Mus musculus: one gene and its partners. The main gene of each other region encodes a partner of the protein of the gene in region 5 in a complex. Links are inferred from orthologs where the notes say so. Each region holds a gene or a part of one and is shown on either strand. Other genes may lie near its edges.

The links.
Region 1: Rbl1 (region 5) and Mybl2 share a complex: the UniProt entries of both Homo sapiens proteins name them as parts of the DREAM complex. The link is inferred for Mus musculus from reciprocal best matches to the Homo sapiens genes RBL1 and MYBL2.
Region 2: the proteins of Rbl1 (region 5) and Arid4a are in contact, whole or in part, in a crystal structure (PDB 7SMC), measured with the Homo sapiens proteins. The link is inferred for Mus musculus from reciprocal best matches to the Homo sapiens genes RBL1 and ARID4A. Residues at the interface, in NP_002886.2 of Homo sapiens: Tyr849, Ile850, Lys853, Val854, Thr860, Phe861, Gln862, Met865, Lys866, Arg869, Tyr879, Arg880, Asp929, Leu930, Ile931, Tyr934, Asn935, Val939, Ala946, Leu947; in NP_002883.3 of Homo sapiens: Leu957, Val958, Cys959, His960, Glu961, Val962, Asp963, Leu964, Asp965, Asp966, Leu967.
Region 3: Rbl1 (region 5) and Lin9 share a complex: the UniProt entries of both Homo sapiens proteins name them as parts of the DREAM complex. The link is inferred for Mus musculus from reciprocal best matches to the Homo sapiens genes RBL1 and LIN9.
Region 4: the proteins of Rbl1 (region 5) and E2f5 are in contact, whole or in part, in a crystal structure (PDB 5TUV), measured with the Homo sapiens proteins. The link is inferred for Mus musculus from reciprocal best matches to the Homo sapiens genes RBL1 and E2F5. Residues at the interface, in NP_002886.2 of Homo sapiens: Ser1000, Ala1001, Leu1002, Leu1003, Tyr1004, Lys1005, Phe1006, Asn1007, Ile1017, Met1020, Ile1021, Gly1024, Glu1025; in NP_001942.2 of Homo sapiens: Met162, Ile190, Ala192, Pro193, Ser194, Gly195, Thr196, Gln197, Leu198, Glu199, Val200, Pro201, Ile202, Pro203, Glu204, Met205, Tyr213, Leu217.

The regions. Positions count from the first base shown.
Region 1 is NC_000068.7:163,053,297-163,057,434, reverse strand, and holds the start of Mybl2 (myb-related protein B), read right to left. Parts: upstream 2,801-4,138; 5' UTR 2,607-2,800; coding exon 2,587-2,606; intron 1-2,586. UniProt on the Homo sapiens protein: Transcription factor involved in the regulation of cell survival, proliferation, and differentiation. Transactivates the expression of the CLU gene.
Region 2 is NC_000078.6:71,014,501-71,018,766, reverse strand, and holds the start of Arid4a (AT-rich interactive domain-containing protein 4A), read right to left. Parts: upstream 2,801-4,266; 5' UTR 2,606-2,800; intron 1,898-2,605; exon of another isoform or gene 1,677-1,897; 5' UTR 1,625-1,676; coding exon 1,619-1,624; intron 1-1,618.
Region 3 is NC_000067.6:180,639,731-180,643,949, reverse strand, and holds the start of Lin9 (protein lin-9 homolog), read right to left. Parts: upstream 2,801-4,219; 5' UTR 2,632-2,800; coding exon 2,553-2,631; intron 2,101-2,552; exon of another isoform or gene 1,958-2,100; intron 1-1,957. UniProt on the Homo sapiens protein: Acts as a tumor suppressor. Inhibits DNA synthesis. Its ability to inhibit oncogenic transformation is mediated through its association with RB1. Plays a role in the expression of genes required for the G1/S transition.
Region 4 is NC_000069.6:14,577,305-14,581,470, forward strand, and holds the start of E2f5 (transcription factor E2F5), read left to right. Parts: upstream 1-1,366; 5' UTR 1,367-1,515; coding exon 1,516-1,719; intron 1,720-3,831; exon of another isoform or gene 3,832-3,902; intron 3,903-4,166.
Region 5 is NC_000068.7:157,194,535-157,198,034, forward strand, and holds part of Rbl1 (retinoblastoma-like protein 1), read right to left. Parts: intron 1,822-3,500; coding exon 1,621-1,821; intron 1,291-1,620; coding exon 1,226-1,290; intron 1,136-1,225; coding exon 1,007-1,135; intron 907-1,006; coding exon 746-906; intron 1-745. UniProt on the Homo sapiens protein: Key regulator of entry into cell division. Directly involved in heterochromatin formation by maintaining overall chromatin structure and, in particular, that of constitutive heterochromatin by stabilizing histone methylation.

The DNA.
Region 1 (4,138 bases), about 5.9 Mb from region 5:
GTAGCTATCCTGGAACTCAATCGTAGACTCAGAGATCGGCCTGTCTCTGCCTCCCTGCTGGGTTTAAAGGCACGCACCACTATCACCTGGCTAACATGGAATATTTTACCTGCTATCAAAATCCTATTGCCTAGTTTGATGGTTTGAGGAAGGAGATCACACTATGAATGCTAGTTAGGGACTGGAGAGCTGGCTCCACTAAGGAACATACTGCCCTTGATGAGGACCTAAATTCAGCCTCCAGCACCCTTCCCACAACCTCCCAGCTCCAGAAGGGTCCAGCCACTCTGGCCTCTGTGGGCACCTACACGCAAGTGCACAAAACCACCCACAGATACATAACTAAGGGAGAAAGGCAAACAACCAGTTTTTCACAGAACTTGGTTAATCCTTCCCCGGGACCTGCACTCGGTCACCTCGAGCAAATACGAAAGGTTAGTCAGTCATATGTAACTGGGAAGAGTAGAGATTTCCAAACGAGCAAGACGAGCCACACTTTGTGCCCACAAGTGTGCAGCGTTGGTGTCTGCACAGCCCTCCCTGTCTTCCCTCACACTCAGCACAGCCTCCCTCCCTGTCACTCCTACACACATACAAGCACTCTGGAAAGCCAGGTCCAGCCCTCAGCCCCAACCTCTGCTCTTGACTTCACCCACAAAGGTCAGCTCCAACTTCACATCCTGGAATTTGGCACAGAAAAGGCCTAAAGAAATATTTGCCCAGGGAAGGAGTGGATTTGTGAATGAATGGATACTTGCAAAGATGCTGCCTACGAAACAATTCTAAAAAAAAATCCCGACGAAAACGAAAAGAAGTTCCTAAGCCTAGCAATACGCGTCACAGAATCCAGAAAGCAGATTTGTATTGTCAGTGCTGACCCAATGCACGCCCCACCTACCATTGTAAAGCAGGAGGCAAAATCTACTAAACATTATCAGTTGAGTTTGCTTCTCCAAAACCCAGCACGAGGCCCAGATTCTATTAGAAGCTCAGCCGGTGTCCTAGGGAAAAGGCTCTGTGTAAGAGAGCCTGAAGCCTCAGTGCTGTGTAATAGTGACAGTATTTGGAGGGCGGGGGTCCTTTGAGATAGGTATCTCTATGTTGCCTTGGCTGCCCTGGAACTCACTCTGCAAACCATGCTGTCCTGTATACTGAAGAGATTCACCTGCCTGAGTGCTGTGATTAAAGACATGTGTTGCTGCTACCCGGCATGGTCACACTATTAAACAGATGGGAGTATCCATCAGTCACACACCTTCTTGCGCATTCTCAAGGGCTCCATTTAACAGACGGGAAAAGTGAGGCCGACAACGATTATGTCACACCAAGCTCCACATTTTTACACCCTAACCTCCCTAGGAACCGTAGCATGAAAAGCAGAGGCCAGTGTGCTGTTTAAAGAAAAGTCACACTTTTGTATATACACATACCCTTTCTCTTGCCCTTGTACGTTCTGGGCTATGCTCCAGGGAAAGGTGAGTCAGAGGCCAAGAGGGAAGTGGGCCACTGGGGTACAGGGAGTCACACCATGTGGCAGAGAAAGGCTCGTGAGGATGCAGGGGCACAGAGTCCACACTTCACAAAAGAGACCCTCAGATAAGCCCGGGGCTCTGGGATTAGTACTTCCAGATGCCCTTCCTGGGCACTGAACTGTCCTAGACACCGGGGCATGGGAAGCCACCCTGATCAGCACCCACAGACCAAACCAATACCCAACCCAGCCACGAAGAACTCTGCAAGTAAGCAAGCAGGCATCTCTGTGCCTTATCTTCATCCTAGGCCAGGTTCGGCCATCTGAAGACGGTGGAAAGGCGTTCTGAATTGGAAAGACCCAGAAGGAACACAGCAGAACCCAATTATCCCACGCCTTAGAAAGGCTGGAAAGCCCCGCGATTAGGCCCCAGATACACAGGTGTCCCAAAAGTCCAGACTTGACCCAGCCACCTAACCTCTAGGGAACTAAGAGGGAAACCCAGTTCCTGCCTTTGGCTCAGAGGCTGCTAGCAGAGCAGTCTCGTTGCACACCAATAGTCTTTACTCATCCCCAACTGCCCAAAACTAGCGTGGGACAGGAAGAAGGCTTCTGAAACCAAACCGAACCGGCCGCCGAAACCCCATGAGACAACGAATTCCCCGTCTCGCATCCCGCGGAGGGCCCAGGGGCTTTGTGCTTCCCGGAATGCTAACAAGAAAGGAACGCCAGCAAATTCGAGCCACTCTTGATCGACAAGTGTCTCCCAGGCTTCTGCCTTCCACTCGCTGCGACAAGGGGAGACATTCTCCCTACCCAGTAATGGGCCTCCAGCTGACACCGCGAGCGACAGCCTTCCTTCCCCACCCTGCAATTAGGCGGGAGATGATGGACCTCACCCAGGGCTGGGACCCGGTCTAGAGGGGGAACCCGCGCTTTCAGACTCCCGGGCCCAGGAGGCCCAGGAACCGAGCGAGGGGGTCCCGATAGCCTCTTAACGTGGCGCGCGCCCCTGCATCGGGCGGCGCAGGGTGCATTTCTCCCGGGGATCCCCATCTCACGCTTGCCGACCCAAGGAGAAGGGAGAGGACCCCAGCGCGCCCGCAGCCTCTCACCAGCGCGTCCGCCGAGACATCCCCCCGGCCCGGACCCCGCCGCACCCTTACGCCCGCCGGCCGAGCCCGGAGCGGGAGCCGGGCCGGGGTCAGGACTCAGGCTGCTCGAGCCGCTCCGGGCCCCAGGCGGTGCTCTCAGGCGTCAGCGTGTCTGCAGGTCTGGTCGCACGTTCCCAGGAACTGCAGCTGCCTAGGGAGCGCACAGAACCACTTTCCTATCTCCCGCCAAGTGCGTCGGCGCCGCCCGGCCCTGGCGCGCGAGCGCAGGGGCGGAGCATACGGAAGGGGCGAAGCGTACAAGACACGAGGGGCGGAGCCCGCGCGCCAGAACCCTAGGAGGGGCCTACTGTAGGGGCGGAGCCCAAGCATGGGGAAGAGGGGAGTGGTTTACCGGAGGGCAGAAACCGAATGTGCAAGCGGGCAGATGCTCTGTTAGTTGGCAATCTACTGTGTCCAGATACACCTACCTTAGGGATTCAATGAGGCGCGAGGCCTGGCTCTGTGTGAATCTTAGATAGACCCCGAGCCACACACATAGCAAAGACTGGAAGAACTGAATAGGAGAAACTTCCCGCCCAAATTGTCACTGCTTGGGACGGTCCAAGCCACTATCCCTAGAGCCCCCATGCTCCCTTTGACTGGGTTTGTATCTTTTCCTTTGCAAGCCTCTTGCTTCTTCAGCTGCCTCAGAGAGACCCAGCTCAAAATCCCAACATTTCTCTCACCAAACTTAAACCTCTCTTCTGTCCGGGTTAAATCTTTGTAACTCCATTTAGTAACGGCCTTCCAGATCACCACGCCAAGACACAGAGAGGCGAAATTAAGTCTTGCAGCTTTTGCTTGGGCCGTATTTGGACCAGGAACTCCCCACATCTTCCCCGACTGGGGTCTCCTGCCCATCTGCTTGCATTTGTGCGCATTTCCTCTGCTGAACTGTGAGCATTCTGGGATCCCAGCAGCCTTTCCTAGGAAATGTATTAAGCCCAGGGGGAAGGCTTGTTGGCTTACGTTCAATTTCTGATGGCAAGGGTTGTCTCTTTCAGGTTGTCATTTACTACCTAAAAACTGAGTGTCATCTTACTGGGACTCCCTGAAAGGATAGGAGCCTGGAAGAACCCCAGCCAAATGCCCTTTAGGCTCAGGCCTCAGATCTCTTTCCAAAAACTGCTGGCCCCTTTTAGACAGTACAACTCCGAAAACTTCATTTACTACAGAAGGATGAAGACTTGAAAGCTACAAGTTTTCACCTGGCTTAATTCAAGGCTTCCCCCCACCCCTCTCCCTTCAAAGGAGTTCATGTGGATCGCTGCTCTTCACGGCTAGTGTGCTTTACAGTGAGATCTCCTCGGGGGTGATTCCCAGCCTACCTTTCCCTAGTTCCATTATCTCAAATTATCAAACTTCTCCATGCCTGCTTCCTCACCTACAAAAACAGTTCATAGAAACCTTTGATCTTCATAACAACCCAATGAGTTATATGCTTGTATTACCCGATAGCAGATGGAGAAACTGAGGCACTGACTTCCCCAAACTGTAGTTCTAGAGTTTATAG
Region 2 (4,266 bases), on a different chromosome or scaffold from region 5:
CAATGTATCTCTAGACACAAGAAACTAAGAAACCTCTTTCCAAAATTGCTTTGGCTGAAGGTTGCAAATGAAAGGTTTAAATCTAAGTTCAACAGATGAAAACTGATAGCTAAAGGCTGCAGCCTTTTCTAGTTTACAGCTTTGATCTCAGTATACTTAAAATAATTTTTATTTAGACATTAGTAGCTGGGCATGGTAGGAGGTGGAGGCAGAGGCAACAAGATCTCTTTAAATTCTATGCCAGCATGTTCTCTGTTACATAGAGATATCATGGAAAACAAAACAATTAAAAAAAGAAAGAAAGAAAGAAAGAAAGAAAGAAAGAAAAGAAAGAAAACACCCATTTACAGGAAATAGTCATGATCAGAATTATACATTGAAATATGTAAGAAACTTCCATTTATACATCATTTTAATCTTGAGAGTAACAGACAACTGCTATTTCAGTCTGTGATGTTACCTAATTCAAAAGCTGTATGTATCATGCAACCAATTCAACATTATATGTACAAAGATATCAATGTTAACTTTAAATATTTTAAGTAGGAAACAAATTTTCATTTTCCCAAGTTATATTAAAGGAAGTTGTGTCACTCCAAAATAAAAAAAAATATATAAGAGGAAGTTTGAGAATTTCAGAAAGTAATATACTTAAACCGAGTCAGGCAATGGTATAGCATGCTCATCCTGCCAGCACTTGGGCAGACGCAGGAGGACGTCAAGGGAGTTCAAGGTCAGCCTTGAGAGTCTACATCGTGAGTTCCAGGCTAGCCCGGGTAAAGTATACTGTTTCAAAATAACCGAAACAAAAACAACTATATATTTTCTATTTACACACACGCACACACACACCGAACACTAAGTACAACGTTAATCATGCACGTTTAAATGTCAGTCTACTTAAAAAGAATAAAAAATGAAGAGGAATACTTTTTGGTAAGTATCTGACCAGAAACAAACAAGAGCCACAGTATCCTACCGAATTCTGAGGAATGTTATGAAAGCTTTCTTTCCCTTCAAGCAGGCTGCCACTGATGTTTGTAAGATTAGGAAGCTTCAAAAGCTACACATAGAATCCACGTTTTAAGATATATATTATGAAGACTGAACTAATCAATCTAAATATTGTCATCACCTTAGTTTACTTTCTTTCCCCAAAAATATACAGAACTATCTCTCTTACTCAAGCTACATAACATGTCTTTTAGAAAATGGCATTGGTAGTGGAAAGGGGGAAGTATAGGTTTTAAAGAAAGCAAAAGCAAAGCAAAACAAAAAAACCTTGCAAAAACCAAAGCAGGACAAAAGCTTTTCTTCTTGAAAGGTGTTTTTGACACTGAAGTGTTTGAAAATCGAAAGACTGCACCGATCTTCTCAAAGTGCTAACTGCTAGAGAGTGTTGGACCGCCTGCATTTATACACACACACACACACACACATTCGAACACGCACACACACACACACACACCCCTCACCCATTCACATGTCATTTTCCTTAAAGTGCTTCTTAGTAAAGAAATCAATTCTAAGTAACAAAAAGCTGCCATTCCACAACTGCAGCCTCCGGACTGGCAGCGTCCGGGGCACAAGGCTAAGAAGAAGAGTTGGCTCCACTTACCTTCATCTTGACTGGTGACCTGTGGGGTTCCAGCTTCCTCGAGTTCTCTTCCCGGGCGCTAGAGCCAAAGCAGGGAAAAGAGAGGCAGAGGATCAGTCCAAGGCGGGGTGAGACCCGGAAAGAAAGTAAACAAATGCAGGCGGGGAGGGGCCGAGCTCCGCGGCCCCCGGGACAGACCCCCGTCGGGCAGCCAAAGCCTGGCGGGCAGTGAGCCCCACGCGCGCCAAAGGGCAGCGCGTCCCGCCCCTGCCCGGCCGGCCGGCCCACCGCGCCCCCGCCTCGTCGGCCACTCGCAGCCCCCTGCGCCCCGGCCTCCCGGGTCCGCGCCCCGCCGGGCCCCGACTCTAGCGCGCGCCCCGCCTCCGCCGCTCGGCCCCCTTGGCCCGCCCCGGCCCGGCCCGCGGCGGCGGCAACGGAGTGTCACGGCGCCATTGCTCTCCTGCCTCCGCTCTGCACCATGTCAGGAAGGAGAAGCGCTCCTTCACCCGGGGGGCAGGGGCGGCGGCCTGCGGCGGCGGCCGGCGCGGGGGGACCCGGCGGGGGAGGCGCGGGGCGGGGAGGCGGCAGGACAGGGTGTGGGAGGGGAGCGAGCCGCACCGCCGCAGCGGCCGTCTCCTCCCGCGCCCGCCTCAACTTTTTGTACAGCCCGGAGAGGCGCGGGCACCCCGATCTCCGCGGTCCAGCAGCGGGTCCTCGCCAAAGAAGCACAGCAGAGTTGGGGGCCGGTTCTCCCGGCAGCCCGCTCCTCCAAAGCAAACTTAGCGGCGCGGCCAGCCCCACAGCCATTTTCCCGGGGAGGCGGCGGAGGCGGTCGTGCCCGCAGTTGCCGCCGCGACTCCAGGACCCGATCGCTGCCCGGCGCCCCGGGCACAGCCCGCCCTGCATCCCCCTCTCAGCCTGCGGAGCTCCCAACTGCACCGGGACCCCATCGCGGCAGCAGCTGCTCCCGCCGCTTTGCCCATTCAGCGGCCCCCGCTGACTACCTACCTACTGCGGGTGCAGAGCGCTGTCAGCTCTCCAGTCTGCCGCCCCACTGATCGCCGTGGGTCCCCGTCCGGGCAGCACCGCTCCCGGCCGCAGCGGCAGTTCCTGCGCCGGGTTCCCCCACTCGCCCCGATTTACTGCCACAATCCACCAAATAACAAGCTGTTGAGCAGACTCGCTTCTACACGAACTCCTATTGGCTGCTCATGACGCCGAATAGCTTCGGATTGGAGCTCGCTGTCTGCCTTTCTCATTGGATGTAGCTGGGAAACTTCCATGATTGGTGCGGAAAACAGCAGGTAGGATAGCTTCCACTTCTGATTGGCTGTATCCGAACACGCACGTTATTGGAGGATAGAGGATTGAGTAAGAGAGCCCAAAAATTTGATTGGAGGAGCCGACTCCGGATGTGCTTGACTGAACACTGATTGGAGAACAAGGGGTCAGGAAGAGCAGTTCCGCACGAGGATTGGGCGGTGGCGTGTCCCATGGAAACGGAATCCAGAACTGCAGCCAGGGTTTTTCACGGGGGCGGAGCCGGCTCTTCCCCAGGCGCCTGCGCCTAACCGGTTCCCCGGCGCCATTTTGTCCCGGCAGCAGCAGCCCGCAGCTCTATCCCATTTTCTGTGTCTGGAGGGAAGGACGCGGACTCTCTCGGGTAGGTTTATTTCAGTGTGGCACCGGCTTACCCTTCCCTCCAGGACAACGCCTAGCGAAGGGTGGAGGAGTCACGGAGTCGTCCGAGAGGTCTGTCGGAGGCTCCCGGTGTCGGGTGGCCTCGGGGGTGGCGCAGCGCTGGGAGCACCGGAAGCGAGGGCGGCCATGGGAGCCGCTGTCCGCCGGCGGCGGAGCGTGGCTGGGGGGGCGTGGAGGAAGGGGGCGAGGTCGGGGGCGCACGTGTAGGTGAGTAAGCGGCCCTTTGCGCCCCTTCACTCGGGATGGCGGGATTTTACTGACACCCCCCCCCCTTCCTCCCGGCATAGCTCTGTCTCCCTTTGACATTGCATTTCGGAAGCTGGGTTGCGGTCTGCAGACACCAGGGGCCCAAGGTGGCAGCCACCTTGGTAAAAGACGGAGGAGGTGTGGTTTCTAGAAACGTCTTGCGTGGGGAAGAAGAGTTATTTCCTCCAACTGTGAAGCTTGGAGGAAACGTGGAAGCCCCGGCTTTCGGAATGCTGAGGAATGTGCCTGCCAGGACAGACGCTGCTGCCACTATGACCTTAGACAAGCGACTCTTGTCACTGCATGAGGCGAATACTATACTATTTTTTCGAAGAAAGTATTAATGCTTCAGGAAGGAACGACAGTTTCTTAGATGAAAGGGTTTTCTGGACCAGATAGACATGGATTCTGTCGTCAGCACATTGTCTTGTTAAATGACACAAAACTTAACAATTGGGCAACAGCTTATGCCCTAAATTAAAATGTGAAATGTTAACCCCAGTAAATTGCACAGTTGAGTACGTCTGAACTAACGCCATATCAACTAGTTAATATTTGTTGTTTTTGTTTTTTCAAAATTTGTTAAGATTGTGAAGTGTATTTTGGTAGTTTTACTAAGTCATGTCTATCTTTTTAAAATCTGCTTAGTTTTGGTGATGCACAAAACTAGAAAATGGTTGAGTAAACAGTTGAGGATTTTTGTTTGTTTTTCTAGAGTTGTG
Region 3 (4,219 bases), on a different chromosome or scaffold from region 5:
ATGAAGATCAAATGTACGGAAAGCAAACGGGACTGTGCGTGAGTGAGTGCAGGCGTGCGTGAGTACATGCATGTGTATTTCTTTTTTTATACACCTAGTTACAGTAAATACTCAGGAAATGATAACTTTTATAATTGATGTTACAGGAGCTATTAGCTAATATACTACATAGCTCCCTTAACTAAACTGGGGGGAAAAATACAAAAAAATTAGTGTTTTTTCAAATCACACTGAAATTACTTTCTCTTTCCAAGATCATGCTCCATCTTATTAGTAATATTACTCCAAATTCAGTTCCATTTTAGTCAAATTTTTAAGTCTATTTGTGTCATTGCTAACAAATCAAAATTACAATTCTTGCTTTTGACAAACCGGTAGTTTAGCTAAAAAAAGACACACACACACCCTTCCCCAAGTCCCAGAGACATTGCATGGTAGTATCAACAATTAGGTTATACATAGTGTAACAGTGTAGCTAATATCTGAACCTCAATGTAAACCCTAAGTTTGTACAAAGAACAAGTAAGAAAATCCTTCTCCTAAAGGTATGCTCACAGACACATCTAGAGGTGTGCTTTGCTGATCTCCTAGGTATTTCTCAATGCAATCAAGCTATCAAAATTAACCATCACCACAGGCATGAGGAAAAGCCTAAGTGGCTCAGCTCTGGTGGGCTGCTGACCAACAACCGTGTGACTGCAGGTGAGACAGCCCTGAGAAGTCACAGAGCGTACCCATTACAGATGATGAAACATTTTACAGTACAGCCCAGGCTGGCCTCCAACTTAAGAGTTAGCCTTTTGTCTTAGCTCACATGTGTTAGGTTAACACACGTCACGGTGCCCAGCTTAAGAAAAAAAATCTCTTCAGATGGCAGGTAACATTCTACTTACTTGAATTATCTATATTTTCAAGCATCGTAAATATCAATCAACCATATTCTCCAAACAAGAACGATAAACTTAGGGATATTCTATAGATAATGCCTTATCAATACAGTAATCACTAGCTATTTAAATATAAGTCAAGATTAAATAGAAATAAAAGAGCAGCACCTGAGCCATCTAGTCACAGGTGACTACCGGTTGCTCACTGCACACTAGAAAAGTGACATCTCCATCCACCATCGAGAACGTTCTTTTGAGACTTAGCACTGGTCTAAATCAAAATTAAAACACAAACATTCTGAATACTGGCAACCTGAACTTCTGACTTAACAATATAAGAAATACACGATATCAAAGAAAACAGAATTAAGAGTTATCTCTCTTTTAAAGGCATATTTGCGTTGCCCACAGATACATCTTACAGAGTTCGAGTTTTTTCTTTGCTTTTGAAACGGGTTTCTCTGACCTGACTTCCTGTTGGGGCACACCAAATGGTTAAAAAACAAAACCACTACTTTATTTGTCATAAAAATGATACAATCGTTCTAAATACAGATTGCTCAGTTTGGAGGTTTGTTTGTTTGTTTGTTTTCCAAGACAGGATTTCTCTGTGTAGCCTTGGCTGTCCTGGAGCTTGGTATGTAGACTGGGTGGGCCTCGAACTCGGAGATCCACCTGCCTCTTCCTACCGAGTGCTGAGATTAAAGATGTGCGCCACCACACCTGCGAACCTTTCGTTGACCAAGGGCTACAAATACACACCACAGAGTACGTGTTGCTTCAAGACCATTTTGTAACTAAAATGCCTTTTAATAATGTGTGCAATATGAAAATTACAAAATTGTTCCCTTGTCCTTAGGTCGCAGAGTAGCTGGCTTTACTGTCTGCGGACAGGTGAACATCCGTCTCAGAGGTTGTGAGTATAGAAGGAGAAGTGAGGCAGTGAACAGGGGTGGGTGTCAGGCAGAATAACATACTTATATGGGCTGCGGTGCTCACATCCGTGTGTAATGCCCACCCCACAGTCTAGAGACACATCCACTCAGGAGGGAGACTGGGAATGGGGCTACCTCGGCACTGTATCCCGGCTGGATCATCTCCGGAAAGGTCCAGGGCCACCTGTAGTCCCAGGGGAAGGGGCCAAGCCTGTGTGACACGGAAGAAAACACTTCCAGGATGGACGCGGGGGGTCGGGGGGAGCGATCACAAGTGCCTGCAGAAGCAGGAGCCGTCAGAGGATCAGATCGGAGGCCCGGGGCACCAAGAGGGGCTGTGTCCCCGGTGCCCAGCCCGAGCCCTCCCGGCCCCCGGCCGGCGAGTTACATAACCGGGCGGGCGAGGAGGACGGCGCCCGCAACTGGGGGGCCGCTCTTCGCCCACCCCGGCCGGCGACAGCAGTCGCTCCGGGAGAGCAGCCGCCGACTCCGTCAGGACAGGCTGGACTCCCGGGCTTTCGGTTTCCGGCGCTGGCGCTCGCACAACCCCAGAAACAGACACACAAGACACCATAACAAAGGCGGCGACGCGGCGGCAGCGCCTGAGGAGGAAGGCCGGGGACTGCGGTGGGCTGGCGGCCATCCCACCTGCCCGGCAACCGGACTCGGCCGGTGCGACCCCGGGACGGGCAACCGGCGGGAAGGAGGGCTGCTCTGAGACGCTACTTACTCTCGTCAGGCAACTGGTCGAGCTCCGCCATCTTGAACGAGCCGCGCCGCTTTTTCAAAGGCTGCCCGCCCCGGTGCATTGTGGGGCGGAGACTGTCTGCGAGGGAGGTTCGAATGAGGAGCTCGCGGCCCGCGGCGCCTGCTCCCGCCAGGCCGTCCGGCTCCGCCCGAGCCCGGCGGGAGGGGGCCTCGGGGCCTCGCCCGCACCCCGGGCCGGGCCCGGAGGAGGACAGGGGACGCCTCGCCGAGAGGCCCGGTAGGGCCGAGCGCGGGGGGCGCGGCGCCAGCACCGATGCGCCCGCCCGCGCCGCCCCCCTCGCCTGCGCTCGCTCCCGGCGCGCGGCCCGCGCTGCGGCTGCGGGAACTGCAGGCCGGTTCCCGAGGGGAGCGGGACGCAGGCCCGGGCCGGTGGCGCGGCGGACGAGACCTGGGTTCCTGGTCGCTTGGCACGGAGGGGGCTCTGCCCAAAGTAACGTGGACTCGGCTCCCCAGATCGCGTTTCTCCGGCGCCCCGGCCCCTGCCCTTCCCCCCCACCGAGTGCCCGGGCCGCGGCGTCCGCTTCGCCTGCAGGTCACGGACGCGGGGTCCGGGCGGCCCGGGCCGGAACCTGAGCTGCGAGCGGCCGGGACGAGACCTTGAGAGGTCACCAAGTTGGTGTAGGCCGAGGGCTAGTGAACTGTCCTGCTTTCTTTCTCTAATGCGCTCCACCCGAGACCGGTAGTGAGCTGGGAGCCTCACAGTGACTAAGGATGCTTGGGGAAGACACAAGTGACACTAGCCAAGTGTAATGAAACTGGATGGGGATTCCTCCCTTGCTGAAAGAAGCCGGGAAAGATTTCACGGTTCCCATCTGTAACACTTTCTAGTATTTAAACCACGGTGGCTTTTCAACTACTATTTTTACAAGCGTGGTTGATCTCCGGGGTGGGTCTATTCTCCAGGGATTTATGAGGAGGGGGTAGTCGGCGAATGGAGAATTTAAAACAAAACAAAAACGAGTGGATGAGTGACTTCCACAAACTAAAAAGTTTAAAGATGGTTCAGTGAGGTGAGAGCAGATCTAGACAGGCCAGCCCAGGCTAAGTTGGGCTTGGTAAAAAGAATAAAGCGAGGTCTTAAGTAGTACGAAGGGCAGGCTTTCATTTCTTTTCTAGAACACATTCAAGAATGTGAGGCACAGGTTGGAGAAAGACAAGATGAGACTCTTGGGCGAGCAATAGAGTGGAAGACTTCAGGCTCAGGAAAAGGGCAGCAGGCTGTGAAAGTTAAGGGTGCAACTTGGGCTGCTACTTGTATCAGTCCCAGGCAAGCTTAATACTTGTGCTTCAACTTCTCCTCAGTAAAATGCAGGCAAAAATTCCACTCTTGCTTAATGAGTGGAAAGAACTTATAATGGCTCCTTGCAGCCAGCTGTTTGCTGCTACAGCCTCCAGTTTATAGACAGTAGGGAGTACCGCTGAATCTGGGGTGGAGGGAGGGGCAGGATGGAAAATCCACCTTTCGAGAGGTGAGGGGAAAGACTAGTGCGAGCAAGAGAAGCACATGGGTGCTGGCCCTTCTGGGCCCAGGGTAAGTGGGGGAGGAGGTGGGCGGGAAGTAAAACGTTGTAACAAAGTAACCTAGCCTTCTGAGAGAATCTAACCCCCCCTGAGCCTTCTGAACACATT
Region 4 (4,166 bases), on a different chromosome or scaffold from region 5:
GTTCACAGCAGCTTTATTCATAATAGCCGGAAACTGGAAACAACCTACATTCCCTCAATCGAACAATGGATTTAAAGATAAAATAAGTGGTACATTATCACAATGGAGTATTACTCGGTTGTTTAAAAAAAAAAATGACATCATGAAATATACTGGCAAATTGATGGAACTCAAAAACCTCATCCTGAGTGAAGTAACCCAAACTCAGAAAGATGAACATGGTACATACTCACTTATAAGTGGATCTTAGCTGTAAAGTAAACATAATGCTACAATCCCCAGACCCAGAAAGACTAAGTAACAAGACAGGCTAAAGAGGGTATCTCTCTGGAAAGGGTCAGTGGAATAGAATCTGCAGGTGGATTGGGGGGGCAGACGGGGATTTTAAGTGTTGCAGCTCTGAAGGAAAATGCTTCCCCTACAGAAGTTTTGCTCCAGACGCCTGGAAAAATTTTGGTTTAAAATTGTTTTCAGGATTTACTAGTTAATGCTGTCAGTTTCTCCTCGCGTTTTGTTTTTTTGTTTTTTTTTTTCCCTACTGTTAATTTGGGCATTCTTGCATGAAGGATATGTCTTCATTAATTCCTGCCAAATGATGTTTTTAGTCACCTACTACTTGTTAAGTGTGAAGGATATTCAACAGGTGCGAATACCAAGTTGTTTAAGATCTTGGGTTTTTTTTTGTTTTTGTTTTTTGTTTTTTGTAAACTTTTATTTATTTACATTCCAAATGTTACCCCCCCTTCCAGGTAGCCCCTCCAAAAGTTCTTCATCCCATACCCCCTTCCCTTTGCCTCTGAGAGGTTGCTCCCCACACTACCCCGACCCATCTTACCCACCCAAGGTGTTGAAGATTTTAATCCTGAGTCTCAAGTTTGCAAATAAAAAATGTGGGAGCACATTTCCTCCTCTTATATCTGTGATCTTACTATCGAGCCATAGTTTACGATGTCAATAAGTCAAAAGATGCTGCGATTGTCTCAATAATAGAATTATTGGGGAGCAAAAGAGTATAATTTTGTAAAGAACACTAAAGGCAGGTAAGGAAAGAGCTGGGGGTCTACTTCCTTCACCGTCAAGGCTCAGGTGCTTCTGTTTGCAGAAAAGGCTTTGGAAAAGACTGAAGGTCAGAGTCCCAAAACCTTCCGGGACGCGGCGTTCTCCTATTTACGCGAAGATGAGCCTTACAATACTTGCACCTGATCAGGGATGAGCGCTCCAGGCCGACCAAAAGCACGCTCCGCCTGAGGGAACCCGACTGCCCCGCCCCTCCGCGGAGAGTGCGTTACTAGGCAACGCCGCGCGGCGTCACTTCCTGCCATTTAAACTCGGGCCCACCCTCGCGGCGCTGGCCGCTCGTGTGAATCCGCGCGCTCTGTGGTGCCGTGCGCGAGCCGCGCGGCTCCGGGGACTGGTGGACGCGGGGCGCGCCGTGGGCGGGGAGCGGAGTCCGCGCACCTCCTCTGCCGGTGGCGGAGCGGCTCCTCGCCAGAGGACAGCAGGGCCGCGGCGGTGATGGCGGCGGCGGAGCCCACGAGCTCTGCTCAGCCCACGCCGCAGGCCCAGGCTCAGCCGCCGCCGCATGGGGCGCCATCCTCGCAGCCGTCCGCGGCGCTCGCGGGGGGCAGCAGCCGGCACGAGAAGAGCCTGGGCTTGCTTACCACCAAATTCGTGTCGTTGCTGCAGGAGGCGCAGGACGGCGTCCTGGATCTCAAAGCGGTGAGCGGGGATGGGGAGGGCGAGGCCCGCCCGAGGGTGCTGGGTCCACCACCCCCACTGCGCCGAGACTCCGGACCCGGAGGGGCCGGGATGGATGCGGGGGCCCCACCGACCGGCCACCGCGCGGCCCTGGCCACAAAGGAGCACCCGGAGCGAGCGCCCAGGAATTCGCGCTCTGCTCTGGACTCGCTTAAGGACCGACCGCTCTGCAGAACTTCATTCCTGTTTTGAAGAACTTTCATGCCAGTTCTTCGGAATGAAAGAGGAAAAGAGAAAACTTTCCACACCTCCTCTAAAGTAGTAGTTTTTAGAAGGGGACATTCTTCATCGAGAATTAAGAATTGGGAAGTAAGATTGGATTTGTTGGCTTAATTTAGAATCTTTCTACTTTCTAGACCTGAGATTTGCGGTCACACAGAGAGGGGTCATTTTGTGCCGTTCAGACTAAGTGGTGAAATTACTTAGTAAGCTTTATCTGGTTTTATAAGGATGTTTGCTTCGTTCTTTGCTATGGTTCGGATTTTTTTCAAACAACAACGTCCATTTAAAGCAGTTCAGTCATAGTGATTTAACCGTTCCTGGCAAAACTTGGAAGGATTCCACAACGCAGGGAAAGGGGAACAGTATGGGATCGTGCGAATTAAAATTCAGCTAGTACAAGGAGGTTCAGAAAGAGCCAATACTTCAAAAATAAACAAAATTGCTAGTTTACAGTCACAGCGAATAGCCTCTTATGACTCCTCACAGCTCCTGGCTTGAAGCTATTACCATCCTCAAGACCGTGGGTGGCCAAGGCATAGGAAATAGGAGTCTTAACAGGAGAAGCCTGCCTTCCAGAACTCTGCTGAGTGTCCTGTCCTGGCCCAGTGGGAGGCGCTGGCTTGTTGGCACTTGGATTCCCCCCTTTTCCTGGGTGTAGATGCCAGTTAGTGTCGGTTCATATTTGGAAATGTTACTCCTGGGACCTTTTTCCACTTTTATTCCCCCCACCCTACCCTCACCTCTTCTTTCCCTCCTCTAATGGGCATCTACAGTACTCAAATTGTATTGAATTCAAATGGTACGGTTTCCAGTTTCACTGGCGTTAATGAGGTCAGCAGAGAAACACCTGATGCTACAAAACACCCATTGAAATCTGCTGTTTAAAGTTAAATTCACCTGTAGTGGATGACTACATTAAAAAATTCAGAGAATTTCGGGGCTTTCCGGGTAAACGTGGGATTTGATGGTTTGTCCTGAAATATGCTCAAACCTCGGAAAATGATTTCTAGATTTAGTTGTTTGACTTACTTAACATGTATGACAGCAGGTTCTGGCATTGAATAGCAGAAGTCTGATATTCAAAAGTCTTTCTGTTATCTGGATCTATCCTAAAGATTCAAAGACTTCTGTAGTAATAAATAATTACTTAAAATAATAAGTAATGACTTACAGAGACCTGTATACCTTTCTTTTGGCTAGGTAGAAAAACATTTTACTTATGCATACTTTTTATGTTTATGAATACATATAAAACCATATGTATAAAAATGGCTTACACTGAAGTATTTATCCCTCGTGATGCTTCTTATAGTACATCATCGTGAGATATTAAGATATTCTAATAATACATGTTAAAAGATAGTCCTATTTACAATAAATTTCTAAGTGGAAATTTTAAAACGTGCACTTTATTTTTATAATAGAATCCTTCATTTTTGTGAAAATCATAAATATAGAAATATATTTTTTTCATTAAATACCCTGAGTGGTCATTAAATATTCACGACTGTAGAGGATAAGCCTAATATTCCCATCCAAATGTGTGCCCGACACACTAAACTTAGGTAAGTCCTGGCTTAGGTCTGCTAAGTGAGATCGGACATTTGAAACTGGACTGTTACTTTCTATGCTGTATTGCCTTTAAGAACTAGTAAGTTCTTGAAAATAAACTTAAGTTTTTATATATCTGTTTGTTATGGATCTCTTTTGTGTAAAGAAAAAAAAATGCATAATTTTACACCCTTAGAGTAAACTAACATGTTAGGTGATGGGCATCCATCTGGAAAGGAGAGAGAGCACTGGTGGCAGATTCTGTAGAAACAGATTAAACTAGTTTTTATTTTTCTGTAGCTTAATCACTGAACTGTTAAGGAGTGTGAGTGTCTGTTGCTCTGAAAATTCCTGTTCTGTACACTTTACAGGTGAGTTGCTATGTTTCATTGGCCATTCTAATGCCATCTTGAACTTTGCAGGGACAGTGTGGCTTGTGTATGTTGTGTTATTATTATTTAAGTTACAGATTATCTGAATGACACCTAAGTATTCTCTCCCAGAACTAGACACATACATAACAAATGACCTAAATGATAACCACTTAGAAGAGACATGATTCGGCCTTAGGCTTTTAGACGGTAACAAGGTTTTGGAGGTAATTGGCATGAGGAAGGATGTCTGGAGCTCTGCAG
Region 5 (3,500 bases):
CTGCCTAGCTAACATGTATATATATATATATATATATACACACCATACACACACACACACACACACACACACTTAATTTTAAAACAGTGACACTACTCCGAGAACAGAAAGTAACGTTTGGGCACTAAGGACATAATGGTGGTGTGCTCACTCAGCCTGAGTAAATCCCCAATTCAATATCTAGGACCATACCAATATCTAGGTATTTTTGGTTTTAATGGTCCTAGATACTGAATTGGGGATTTACTCAGGCTAAGTGAGCACATCACCATTATGCTACACAGCCCTAAAGACAAATTTTCAAAATACTTCAAAGTTAGTCTATGGCAATATTTTTCAAAAGTTAAAAAATATTTTTATTACTTCTTTAAGAACTGCATCAACGTTATTTTGACTTTATTTATCCCCTCCTAATTTCTCCCAAACCTACCCACCTCCCTCCACTTGACCCCAATTGTGCTGCTCAGATACTTGGGCATACCAGCAGGGTCACCCACCGGAGTGTGGTTAACCTACCATGAACCATACCTTTAAAAACATAGACTCTCCCTCCCCTGAAGCTGTGAGCTTCCATGTGGGTGCTGGGAATTGAACCTGGGTCTTCTGCACGAGCAGTAAGTGCTCCTACCTTCAGAGCCATCTCTCTAGCCCCAGACCTGGGGTATCTGACCATGGGTCCTAGAATGCTGAGACGGTTCTTTACTTTCAGGCTGCTCCTGGCCCTTAAACATTTAATTATTAGTACCTTCTTATCAAAGAGCTTTGAAATATATGGCTTAAAGTAATGCTCCTTTATCCCTTTTGCTTCTACTAGAAGTCCGTCATGCAGATCACAAAGTACAGCAATGATGCACGGAGGCTCTTCTGCGGCTTTGAAGTCCGGAGCATGGAAATCAGATGGTAAGCCTAGTTAGACAAAGCATGAAGGGAACAGGAGGGACAGAACAGTCAATTTTTATACTTTTTCTAAAAGTTAATAATTACTTTTCAAAAATAAACATCTTACCTTTAAATGATGGATTTAACAAGTCTCGTCTATTTGGGCACATTATAGCATTGGCAAAGATCAGGTCCAAGCAGCACAGAAGTAAATGATAGGAGTTTACTAAATCATCACCAATCATACGGAAATTCCCTTCATAAGGAAAAAAAGTTAAGATCCAGAACCCGCTCATGTCAACCATCACCAAATCCCAGGGTAGAAAGCGGGGAGAGTGTAACTTACCCTTGGTGTAAACAAAGAGTGTCCAGCAGAAGTTAAAGAGGTCCTTAACACTGCAGGGGATCCTCCTGAAGGGAGAGATGCTTTGGTTTTGTTTATTGTTTTATTTGGCCAGGCTAACCTGCTAAGCATGGAGAGCAAACATAAACGAAAGGGTCAAATCGCATGTACAATTCCACTCGGGACGCCATACGGACGGCTCAGCACACTCCACGGAGTGTTGCAAGATGCACGCAACAATCAGATTAGAAAAACATAACTAAAGTATCACCCTTATTTTGAAATATAAGTGATTGTAAGAAATTTAAGTCTCTGCCGAAGGTAAATACGGACTTTTAAAATTAAAGTCTCCTAATGACCCTGCATCACAGATCTAGGAGAATCAAGGGTCTTCTTACCTCTGTTTTCGGCTCCGGGGCAACTTTGGTGGCTCTTCATATGGATTTTGAAAGATATCTAAAAAAATGGGCTCAAATTTTTTAAAAATTACAGTAGATACTTCAAAATTTCTTTCTAGCCTTTCTATCCGCTCACGAAACTCTTGTGGTAGGTTTGACATGTCCATCCATTTCTTCATTTTACTAAAAAACTGTATTAAGCTTTAAAAAAAGAAAGAAAAGGTAATTTAAAAATTAGTCCACATAATGAACTGAAAATGACACAGTCACTTCATGATTAAAAATCTTTGCTTTCAGGCTGGAGAGATGGCTCAGAGGTTAAGAGCACTGACTGCTTTTCCAGAGGTCCTGAGTTCAATTCCCAGCAACCACATGGTGGCTCACAACCACCTGTAATGGGATCTGATGCCCTCTTCTGGTGTGTCTGAAGACAGCTACAGTGTACTCATATACATAGAATAAATAAATCTTAAAAAAAAAAGTCTTTGTTTTCAAAACCTAAACTAAAACAACATAAGCCCTCACTCCAGCCTAAACTTCCACTCCCAGTACTACTAACCACACTGGTTCCAGGAGCATCTCGGGGACTGAGAAAAGCGAAGTGACAGTGGTCCTCTAGGATACGGGCAATAAAAGCACCTACCTGATTCTTTCATCCTCTACAGGAAGCCAATGCTCTAGATGTAGTCTATGAAGTCAACGTCAGTCAACAGTGTAGAGGCTCACAAAGTCAGTGTGAAGGAAAAAGAAGTCTCCCAAATGTAAAGTTGTTCACAAAGCACCAGACTACTACAGGCGGGGTCCTGTTCAAGTGTTTGCATTCTTTTTCTTTGTTTGAGATAGTTTCTCTGTGTAGTTGATTTCCATTCCTTAATTTTATTTCTTGTCACTACTAAGCATTCCGTGGGTCTTAGTTCTACCCTCTCCTCGTTCCTTGGCCAACTGCACAGGACTATTGACCTGGGCAGGCAACAAGGAACGGCACTAATCCAGATTCAGGTACATGCTGGTGTGCACCTCTGGGGTGGGGGAGGGGAGTCACTGATAAGTCTATTTGAGGTCATGTCTCCTTCCTAACCCTGAGCATCCGCGTAGAAGGAAGCAGTTATTAAAGCCCCATTCTGGAATGGGGAGTGGTACGTGTAGTGTCAGTTTACATCAATTAAAACAACAACAACAACAATTTTAGGTTTGTGGAAAATGAATAAAGTCAAGACGGTTAAAGGCTCTTCACTAGATCTCAATTGTCATGGGTAAAAATGAAGATTCATGCTACAGTAACATTAAGCGAAACCTAGCCACTGTTGTAGAAACAATCTTTTTCTCATCACTGGCCACATAATTTTTTAAATCTTTATTATAAACTGGTTGTTATTACCATGGTGGCTCATGCCTATAATCCCAATAATGTCATAAGAGACAGAAATTATAGAAATATTCCTTATTAAAGGGGCATAAGAGAAAAAAGTTTGTGTTAAGTTCCCGATTAAGAAATACCACAGAAACAGGCCATGCTGACACACATTTATAACCGTACAAGCTGGAAGAATGAAGCAGGAGCCAGTTTTGATAGTAGCCTGGATCTGGGCTATAAACTGAGATCCACTCTCAAAAATAAGATAATAACTAATTAATTAAAATATCACTGAAAGCAACTTCAAGATGAAAGGCTATAATGAATACAGCATATTTTGAAATGATTACATAACAAACACTGAGAGAGAGAGAGACTTGATGATGAACGACAAAGTGATGGAGTAAGTAGGAAGGATGCAACGGGAGTGGCAGTGAGACTGGACCACAGCTGTTCCCCAAAAGCTTTAAACTGTTTCCCTTAAGAAAAAACCAGGGAGTAAAGACAGAGCTACAATGTCGGTAAC